Linked DNA regions of Mus musculus. The protein of the gene in region 2 interacts with the protein of the main gene of each other region in a pairwise test. Links are inferred from orthologs where the notes say so. Each region holds a gene or a part of one and is shown on either strand. Other genes may lie near its edges.

Evidence for each region. The genes of interacting proteins can lie anywhere in the genome.
Region 1: the proteins of Dazap2 (region 2) and Maged1 interact in binary tests that used the Homo sapiens proteins (3 or more experiments, as listed by UniProt). The two-hybrid records come from large-scale screens. The link is inferred for Mus musculus from reciprocal best matches to the Homo sapiens genes DAZAP2 and MAGED1.
Region 3: the proteins of Dazap2 (region 2) and Krtap8-1 interact in binary tests that used the Homo sapiens proteins (3 or more experiments, as listed by UniProt). The two-hybrid records come from large-scale screens. The link is inferred for Mus musculus from reciprocal best matches to the Homo sapiens genes DAZAP2 and KRTAP8-1.

What each region holds. Positions count from the first base shown.
Region 1 is NC_000086.7:94,539,204-94,543,469, forward strand, and holds the start of Maged1 (melanoma-associated antigen D1), read right to left. Parts: upstream 2,823-4,266; 5' UTR 2,689-2,822; intron 2,122-2,688; 5' UTR 2,093-2,121; coding exon 2,048-2,092; intron 1,345-2,047; coding exon 652-1,344; intron 79-651; coding exon 1-78. UniProt on the Homo sapiens protein: Involved in the apoptotic response after nerve growth factor (NGF) binding in neuronal cells. Inhibits cell cycle progression, and facilitates NGFR-mediated apoptosis. May act as a regulator of the function of DLX family members.
Region 2 is NC_000081.6:100,618,662-100,621,297, forward strand, and holds the end of Dazap2 (DAZ-associated protein 2), read left to right. Parts: intron 1-706; coding exon 707-835; 3' UTR 836-2,100; downstream 2,101-2,636. UniProt on the Homo sapiens protein: In unstressed cells, promotes SIAH1-mediated polyubiquitination and degradation of the serine/threonine-protein kinase HIPK2, probably by acting as a loading factor that potentiates complex formation between HIPK2 and ubiquitin ligase SIAH1.
Region 3 is NC_000082.6:89,486,852-89,489,248, forward strand, and holds Krtap8-1 (keratin-associated protein 8-1), read right to left. Parts: upstream 1,102-2,397; 5' UTR 1,057-1,101; coding exon 871-1,056; 3' UTR 523-870; downstream 1-522. UniProt on the Homo sapiens protein: In the hair cortex, hair keratin intermediate filaments are embedded in an interfilamentous matrix, consisting of hair keratin-associated proteins (KRTAP), which are essential for the formation of a rigid and resistant hair shaft through their extensive disulfide bond cross-linking with abundant cysteine residues of hair keratins.

The DNA of each region.
Region 1 (4,266 bases), on a different chromosome or scaffold from region 2:
AGACCTCCAGTTCCCTGAGGCCAGTGAGGCACGCCTTTGATCCCCACTGTTGTTCTCTTCCACATTCAAGTTATTAACCTGTATAATTAGAGAGAAGAAAATTTCAGGGTCACTATTAATCCTGGGTCCTCCCAGTTGCTATCTTAGGAAGTACCTAGGAATCTTCACCTACACCTCACTAGCCACTGGTCACTTTGATTCTCTTTGTCTTTCAGACAGGCGTTTCATCTCCAAACCAGACAAAGGAAAAAACAAACAAACAAACAGAAAGTGGGACCTAGATTTCTCCTTTTCCTGTGTGACTACGGACAGTGCTTGGTTTCACCCTGAACTCGTTTCTTCCTGACTCTGTTCTCTCTAGAGAGTGAGGTACATCTTCAAGATCTAATTGATTCTGTGTGAGCCTGCCTAGCTTAAGACATGGTGTTTAATGTCAAAATGTAAGATGGCCTACACACATATTGCCTGTGTCCTTGTATCAACTCATCATCAGCCTGTGGACAACCTGGGCTCAGGAATAATAGTTACCTTAGCACCCCCTACAACTGTGCCAAAATACAGATAAATCCATGCCCTTTATTGTGTTTGGAGCCAAGGAAATTGGAAGAAAGGAGAGAGCCCAAAGCAAAGGGAAGCTAGCTGGGATCTCACCTTGCGGGTCCTCTTGCCCCGAATTATAGTCCGGGACTCCACGTTCTGAGTCTGGGAGCCATCTGCTGATGTCTGGGCTGCTGCACCATCAGCTTCAGAGATACCTGCGCTGGTCCCTACGTCAGCCATTTTGGCCTGATTTACATTCTGGGTCTGGGCATCAGCTCCAGGGACCTTAGTAGTGTCATTCCAAGCCTTAGCTGTCTTAGGCTGGTTGTTGGTCATCTCATTGGCACTGGGAGACTGAGGGAAATTGTAGGTGGTACCGGGGCCAGCCTTAGTGCTATTCTGACCCTTAAAGGCCATTTCAGACTTTTTAGCTGATTTGCCTGTGGGTGCTGCCTGGGAAAAGTCAGAGGCAGCATGTGGACCTTTAGGGGTGCCATTCTGTGACTTAAAGGCCGCCTTAGACTGATTCTTGGGCATCTCCTTGGCATTACGTGCCTGAGAGTAATCATTTGGCCCCTTTGTGGTGGCATTCTGGGCCTTAAAGCCTGTCTTAGGCCTGGCAGCAGCTGCTGAAACCTCAGTATCAGCCTTCTCATTGGCAGTTGGGGGCTGTGAACTCTGGGGACTAGCATTTGGCCCACTGGCAGCTGCTGTGGCCTGGCTGGTGGGCGGAGCCTCGGAGATCTGGATGGCTTCCATCAAGGTCTGCACAAGCAAGGCGCTGTCTTCAACAGAGGCCTCAGCCTGCAAACACAGGAGGGGCAACATTTCAATCTCTGAGCCTTACATGGCAGACCAGAGGAGGGGGGGGGCGCGGCGCAACGCAGCAGGGGAGCTGTAGACAGGCGTCACAGTACTCAGACGTGGGGGCAGAGGCGGGTCAAAGGGAGGCGGGGCGCGAACAAAATTTAATTAAGGGTAGAGGGGGCAGGGCAAGGTGAGGGACAGTCTGTGGCAGCAGGGGCTGGTGCGGAATGTGGTGCAAGCTCTGAGCCCCAAATGGGTTTAGAGACGGACTGGTTAGGCTTGAGGTGGGGAGCTCAAGACCCGAGGAGGGAGGAATCAAGGAGGATAAGCCGAGAGGGTGGAGGGGGAGTCTCGCGGCGTGGAGAAAGGGAGGGTGGAGGCGAGAGGTTGGGGGATGGGGCGACAGACTGCTCTACACGCGTCAGGGTTATGGAAAAAAAATGGTTCCTTACCCAACCCGCATTCTCTGGGCAGAATGCCCTGACTAACAGGGTCTCCCCTTTCTCTAAGCAGGGACCGATGGCTGAAAAGGGCCGCCCCTCCCCCCCATTCGATAAACGCTAGAAATCTGAGAGCCCGCGGTGTCTAGGCCGGAAGAAGGGCAAAATCAGATCCTGCCATTCGCGCGACCTAAGGGGCCGGGGGTGGGCGTAAACTGTCAGCAGGGGAAAAATGGGGGAATTGGGAGCGGGGTCCTCACCTGGAAGCCGCGGAGGCCTGCACCGCCGTCCGGTTTCTGAGCCATAGCTCTCGTCTCCCTGGCAAGAGCAGAGCCTAAGGGGGGGGGTGTGGGAGAGAGGAGCTGGGCATTACACTACAGAAGGAAAAGACATAGGACCGAATTCTGTGTGCGTGTGTGCTTTGATTCTGGGGGCGGGTGAGGTGCCGAGTCCGGGGGGAGAACCAGGCCTAAGCGGAGCGGGAAAAGTAACCGGTCGTCCCGCTAGACCATCTCCAATCTCAGACGCGGCCAGGGAAAAGCTTCAGCGCTGCCGTTTTGGAGTCAGAGAGGAGCTGTGGATGCGGTAGTTTACGGGGGCGGGGAGGGAGGGCGGCGAGCGGGGAGACACGGGCGTCCGAAAAGTTGAATTAAGGTTCTGAATTCAGAGGAACCATCTAACGGGATCAAGGTCGGGAAATAGGATTCGGGGAGGGAACTGGAGAAAAGATTCAGGGGGACGGACGGAGTTTCAAATTAGAAAAGGGTCGGGAGCAGGGTCTGAATCCGGGAGCAGGCAGAGCAGGGGGCTTCCGAATCCAGGGTGAAGGGACTGGGAGAAAAGAATGGCGGAAGGACGCCGCGCCAGGGGGGCAGATGCCCCGTCTGGGGGCGAACCTCACCTTGCCTCAGGGCCGAACCCCAATCCCTTCGCTGTTTCCTTCTTCGCGACTCAAGAGGATCGGGAATGGCTCTGTCCGGCTCTCGGCACCCGCACTCTCTCCGCGTCCAGGAGAAAATGCCAGCGCGGCAGCTCGGGCGACCCCGCCTCTCCGCCTAATATACCACCCACCGCCTCTGGACGCGCCGCGCATGCGCAGCAGATCACTGTCCAAATAAGAGTCCCGCTTGCTTTCCCAACAAAAGCTTCATCCCAGAGCCATTGTTGCGCATGTGCACTTGGAGGAGAGCCCGCCTCCTTGCCAGCACACTATCCCACCGCCAACCAGGTTGACAGTGGACAAAGGTTCCTCCTCCCCTTCTCCTTACGCATCCACTCCTTCAACAGATGCGCAGCGCCTTTCGGTCCCACCCCCTGGCCCGACACACCAGCCCCCTACCTTTCTCCGCAATGCGTCTATGCTCAGTCCCGCCCTTTTTCCCGAACTCTCTCTAGCCAGGTCCGCAGCTCCCGCCCACCCCCGTGTGCAGAGCCCCGTAGGTAGGCCCCCCGCGGGGGTCTCTTATTTCGAAACATGCTAGGCCTCTGCTGAGTTCACCCACTCTACGACGCAGAAACCTTAAAGGCCAGAAAAAAAAAAAAAACCATTGCAGAGATACCGGAGCAAGGGTCGCCCGGGGGGGGGGGGGATCTATAGGTTTCCTCTCACTGGACTCAGAAAATGAGCTTTTTCTCTCGCCCTTTTGGCAGTTTTTGCCCATCGAAACCCTTTTTGAGGGCTGGGTTAGAGAGGTGAGGGAAAGGCGTTGGGCTGTGGGGTCTGCCCTGGGGCTTGTTTTTCTTGCAGGCTGTTTTAGGGAGATGGATGGAGTGCAACATTCTCATTTAACACACCAGGTAGCTAATGCAGAAGCCCGGGGCATTGAGCTGGTACCACACAGAAAGGCCAGAACCTGCCCCAGCACCGCTGCGCAGGCTGGTAATCCCAGCACTCTGGGGACTCAGGGAAAGCCCTGAGTTCCAGGCCAGCTGTGCAACTCTGAGACTTGATCTAAAAGACAAACAAAACCATCCATGAGGGGCCTGGATTTTCCTGAGTGTAAAATCTAGTCTGAGAACAGGGGCACTCCTTCAACCTCTATTGGAATAACAAGCTGTCCTCTCCCCAATATTTGTTCCATGGGAATAAGGCTTGTGTTCTAGGAGGCCTGGCATGTGTGGGGACCCTTTAGGTTCGTTCTGTGCTCCTCTTAGTAGGCAGTCTCCAGGAGCGAGACCGCAGGCTTTCTTGGTGACTGCTGGAGCGGCCAGAGCATTCAGGTGTGTCTGCCTTGTTCTTGCAGAATGAAGCTGGCCTTGGCTTTAGAATTCCGGGAGGAGTGTCTGCCCTATCTGTCCCTCGCTGTGTGAGTCCCCTGAGATATAGTCACTACACTTTAGTGGACTTCTCTGAGCCTGGTTTACTCACTACTATCCAAAACAGGAATCCCGCAAAGAGGGTCGTGCCCAAGGACACACAGCCAGCTGTGCTTCCAGGACAGCTGGGGAAACAAACGCAGAAAGATGGCATACAGATGCG
Region 2 (2,636 bases):
AGTAGGTTTTATTTTCCAGGTCCTCCTGCTCAGTGACACTGTGTATGGGGTTTGTAGCCCACAAGGTTCTAGCAAAGGGCATCTTCTTAGGAGTCATTCTAGAGTGAGGTGACTAGAATGGTATCATTATTGGCTTTTAACAATGTTGTATGTTAAAAACCTAGGGTTGCTGAAGATGTAGCCCACTAGTAGAGCATTTGCTTATCTTGTACAAAGGGCTCTCCCCCTCCCTGGTAAATAAAACCCCACATTCACAAGAGATCCTGTGGGGTGGGCGTGGCTCTCCCTGAGAAGGATGGGATCTGGATTTACAGGCTACATCTTAGAGCTAGAACACTCTGGGTGAATGACAGATTTCCTTTCCTGTTTATGTCCTGGATTCAGAGAGAGTAGGCATGCTCTAGAACAAACTGTTGCAAACTTAGCTCCTTAAAATGCTGGTTGCTTGGTACTGTAGTACACTCGATAATCTTAACAGTGGGGAGGTTGAGGCAGCAGACTTCCTTTGAGTTTAATGTCAGTCAGGGCTACATAGCATGAACCAGTCAAGTGAGAGTTACTCAGACCCTGGGTGGACCTATCCCACTGCCTGCAAAAAAAAAAAAAAAAGAAAAAGTTACCGATTGGCACATTGCCATCTTCTTACGCAGCATCTGCTTCCTGTGTTCTTTCCCTGTGCCCACTGTACCTTGTTCTTTCCTTCTAGCCTCCACCTCCTGGATGCCCTCCCAACGCTGCTCAGCTCGCAGTCATGCAGGGAGCCAACGTCCTTGTAACTCAGCGCAAGGGAAACTTCTTCATGGGTGGCTCAGATGGTGGCTACACCATTTGGTGAGGAGCCATGGCCACTCCTGTGCCGGGGAAGACATCACATACCTTCAGCACTTCTCACAATGTAACTGCTTTAGTCATATTAACCTGAAGTTGCAGTTTAGACACATGTTTTTGGGGTGTCTTTCTGGTGTCCAAACTTTTGAGGCACTTTTCAAATTTAATAAGGAACCATGTAAGGGTAGCAGCCCCTCCCTAAAGCATTCTGAGGTAAGGAGGTATCCATTCTTCAAATGAATGTGAGTGAAGCAGCCCAAGGCTCTTCCTTAATTCCTCTGGAGTGATGCTGTGCCATGCTGGTCTTTGCTTCTAGTAATAAAACATCAAATTAGGTTTGGAGGGAACTTTGATCTTCCTAAGAATTAAAGTTGCCAAATTATTCTGATTGGTCTTTAATCTCCTTAAGTTTTTGATTTATCTTACTTGGTAAATGAAATGCATTAGCTGTCTGCCTTTTCCTTCCCATCCTCTGCCCAGCCTGTCCACTGTCCCTGCTCCTCCACCCCCTCCCATCACTATCCATAGAATCAGTGGTGCAGGACCGAAAGCCAGACTCAGCCCCTTGTCTCCCTGCACCTGTCCCACTTGACATTTTTTAACTCATCTTTCATAAGGATCCTCTGAAGCCCCCTGTGTGACCTGAGCACAGACTCCATTTCTTCAGGTTTTGTATATCTCCAGGCAAGGTGAAGGGTACCCTTCGGACCCGCCTCATAAACCATCTCTGCATCACCATGAACCCAGACTAGCTGTGGTGCCAGAAACCTGAACTTAAACAACAGTTCTCAGTGCAAACTGTCCTAGGAAAATTTAAAGATGACAGGCAGGGGAGAAGATGCATATCAAAAGCTTGGCTTTAAAGTCTAAGGGAGTTTTAGATCAAAAACTAGCTATCACTTCCTGAGTGTCTCATGTAGCCACTCAGGCTCCCAGGAGTTTCCTGAGGTAGGTTAGTAGGGTCACGTGAATGCCTCACTATGACATGACTTGAGTCCAGTGAGATCTCATTAGGATTAATATTTCAGGGATCCTTAATATTTTGATTTGTTTTCCGAGATTGGATTTTATTTTATCTGCTATTTCAGTTCATCTAAATCTTGTGTTCTGTACATGTGATGTTTGACTGTACCATCGACTGTTATGGAAGTTCAGCGTTGTATGTCTCTCTACACTGTGGTGCACTTAACTTGTGGATTTTTTATACTAAAAATGTAGAATAAAGACTATTTTGAAGATTTGAATAAAGTGATGAAGTTGCATTACACCTCACGCCAGCATTCTTTACTTAGCATGTGCTCAGATGGCTTCCTTTATATGGCAGGTCTTTAACATCCCACCCAGAAACCAGCTAGTGCTCCCATTGCTGTTTCTTCAATACGTCTTTGAAGTAAATGTAGGTGTGTCAGGCTAGGCTTGACTGCTCTCCTGGGTTCCACTAGAGATGATCCTGGACTCACAACTGTAATCCAGTACTCACGGGGCAGAGGCAGGCCGATCTGTGAGTTAGAGGCCAGCCTAGTCTACCCAGAGAAACCCTGTCTCAAGGGTAAAAAAAAGAAAAGAGCTTTACAGATGGGATTGAATGCCAGGTCTTTCTTGGCTCCATCTATATTATACACAGGGATCTGGGAGATTGTGGCCCTTGCCAGAATTGAGAACAAACCCACTTATTTCTCATGTGTTTCCAGTGATGCTTGTCTGGGACAAACCTGGGTTGTCCTCATTGCCAACTCCTGAATAGTTTTGAGAACTGTAGAACTTCCATTAAGTCCTTAGAAAGATAACACATACAGATGAGTTAAATA
Region 3 (2,397 bases), on a different chromosome or scaffold from region 2:
TCTTCACTTAACAGAATCTCAGACTCAAAGGATGTGTGTACCTTCTCTATTACTTAATGCTCCAGAGTCCTTAAAGAGGGGACATGGTGTTAAATTCTGCAATCGTTATTCCCTGGGAGACAGATCACAGTGAGTTTCATCTACACTAACACAGAATAACTGTGAAAGTTTCTCCTGTTCTGTTTTACTTAGAGAAAGGCAGGTGATAGTGAGATAGAAGAGGGATGCCAAACAATGTATCCTTGACATGAGGGATGCCAGTCTCATAAAAACCCTCCTTGGCTGTCTTACTCCAGTCCAGCTTCCATGCCAAAATAAATTCTCAACACAGGAAAAGCTCAGAGAAGCAACTCTTTTCAGGATAGTAACCAACCTCTTACCAATGTATCACACAAGATCAAAGACTATTTGCCTCTTCACAACTCCTTAGGCTAAGTGATTAAAATTAAACCTGCTTCCCTCCCCCAGTGAATGTATCAGAAAATATGCACATACCAAGAAAGGAAACTCCACTCAAGAAATGAAATGTTATGCAAGCTCAGACAAATTTATTGAGAATTTGACAGACACATCCACAACTTCACCATAACAGGGAATCATGAGAGTCTTGAAATATTCCAAAGCAATACGTGCCACATGGGTTGCCAAGCTTCTGAAAAAGTCCTAAAGAAAGAGCATCCAGGAAAGGCAGAGTAAGGCATCATCTAGATTTTCAGTTCCTTTGCTTGAGACTCAGTTGTAAGATCTGAAAAACAGCTTCTTGGAAGAGGTTGATGAAGAAAGGAAGATGAAGGGTGGTGAGGCTGGAACCTGGAGGTGTCACAAAGCCTTCATGAAGAGATGGAACTGTGCCTGGGGGATCACAGCAAATCAGTAGAGAGCAAATGGCCAGTATCTTCTGTAAGCCCCGCAGCCATTGTAGCCATAGCCAAGGCCATAGCCAACTGGAGAGTAGGTGCTACCATAGCCACAGCCAACACTGTACCCCAGAGGGTAGCCATAGCTGCCCCAGTAGCATCCTGGGAAGACAGAGCCCTCAGCGCCGGTGTAGTACATGATGTCAGGAGTGGAAGGCTTAGGTAGGAGGGAAGTGAGTGTGATGGATTCTGTAGTCTCAGACCATCTTTATATACCCCGACTGGGGGGTGTGGCTTAAGAAAACACAAGGCCCTCATTTTCATTCTTGACACCAATTTGCACTACACAAAGCTCGTTAATTTGTTGTGCTCTTGCCTAAGAGTCTATGAAAAAGCTCTTTGTGATATAATGCAAGGAGACGATTCCATCAAACAAGTTATGTGCCTTCCAAAATGGGTTATTACAGGGACTTCAAAAGCGCTTGGTCTTACAGACCCTATATATAATTTCAGTTATCAGGCTTTGTAACGCCAAGAAAGAGTCTAGTGTTGTTAGCTTTAATGCAGTCATCTCCTGCTCTGAATTTATACAACCAGGTTTAGAATTCAGTAGATATGTGTAGGACACTTTAAGTCAAATAATAAGCTATGAGTTTGTCTCCAAATCAGTATCTCTTACCATTTACTGGATTAAAGAATTCTCTCTTCTTCTTCTTCTTCTTCTTCTTCTTCTTCCTCCTCCTCCTCTTCCTCCTCTTCCTCCTCCTCCTCCTCCTCCTCCTCCTCCTCCTCCTCCTTCTTCTTCTTCTTCTTCTTCTTCTTCTTCTTCTTCTGTGTGTAAGATGCTCACCACAGACCTTCCCCCATCTATAGCTAATCTGTTCAGGAAACTAAACTGTGTGTAAAAGTTAATTGGATAGACACCATCAGAATCATATCTAGTAGTACATGTCTATACCACCTCTGCAATTAAAAATCTGTAAAATAAAAGTATAATTTGTTGATTAATCATAATTCTAAATGTCACACTGGTGTGATTTGTTGATCCAATACACTATTTCAGGTAAATATTTAAAGTAGCAACATGGCAAAAACAACAAAAACTAATGGAAAATTTTATCCTAAAATGAAGATGACTTTTCTATTGAATCAAGTAAGAGCATTTTATCTGAAAAAATATGATGATTTTTATGAAGTGTCAAATGATAATATAAACTCACAGACTTTTTAAAACAGTCATAAACTAAACGTCTTTTGAATTTCAAGTAATTGTTAGATGCTAGAAATTGTAAAAATGAGTGAGAAGTGGTAACTACATTGGAAATAATGAAGTTTATACATTTCATTTTTAGAATGATTATTTACCCTAGAATAGGGAGCCTAGACCAATCTCCTTTCAGTGGAGATTTAGTCCACAAATAGGAATTGGAGGAAGATTAGATTTATCAAAACTGTCTTGGGCCATATATGATCTGGCAAATCATTTCCCTAATACCTGCATGCAGACTTCCCTTCATGGAACTTTATGTATGATTTACAA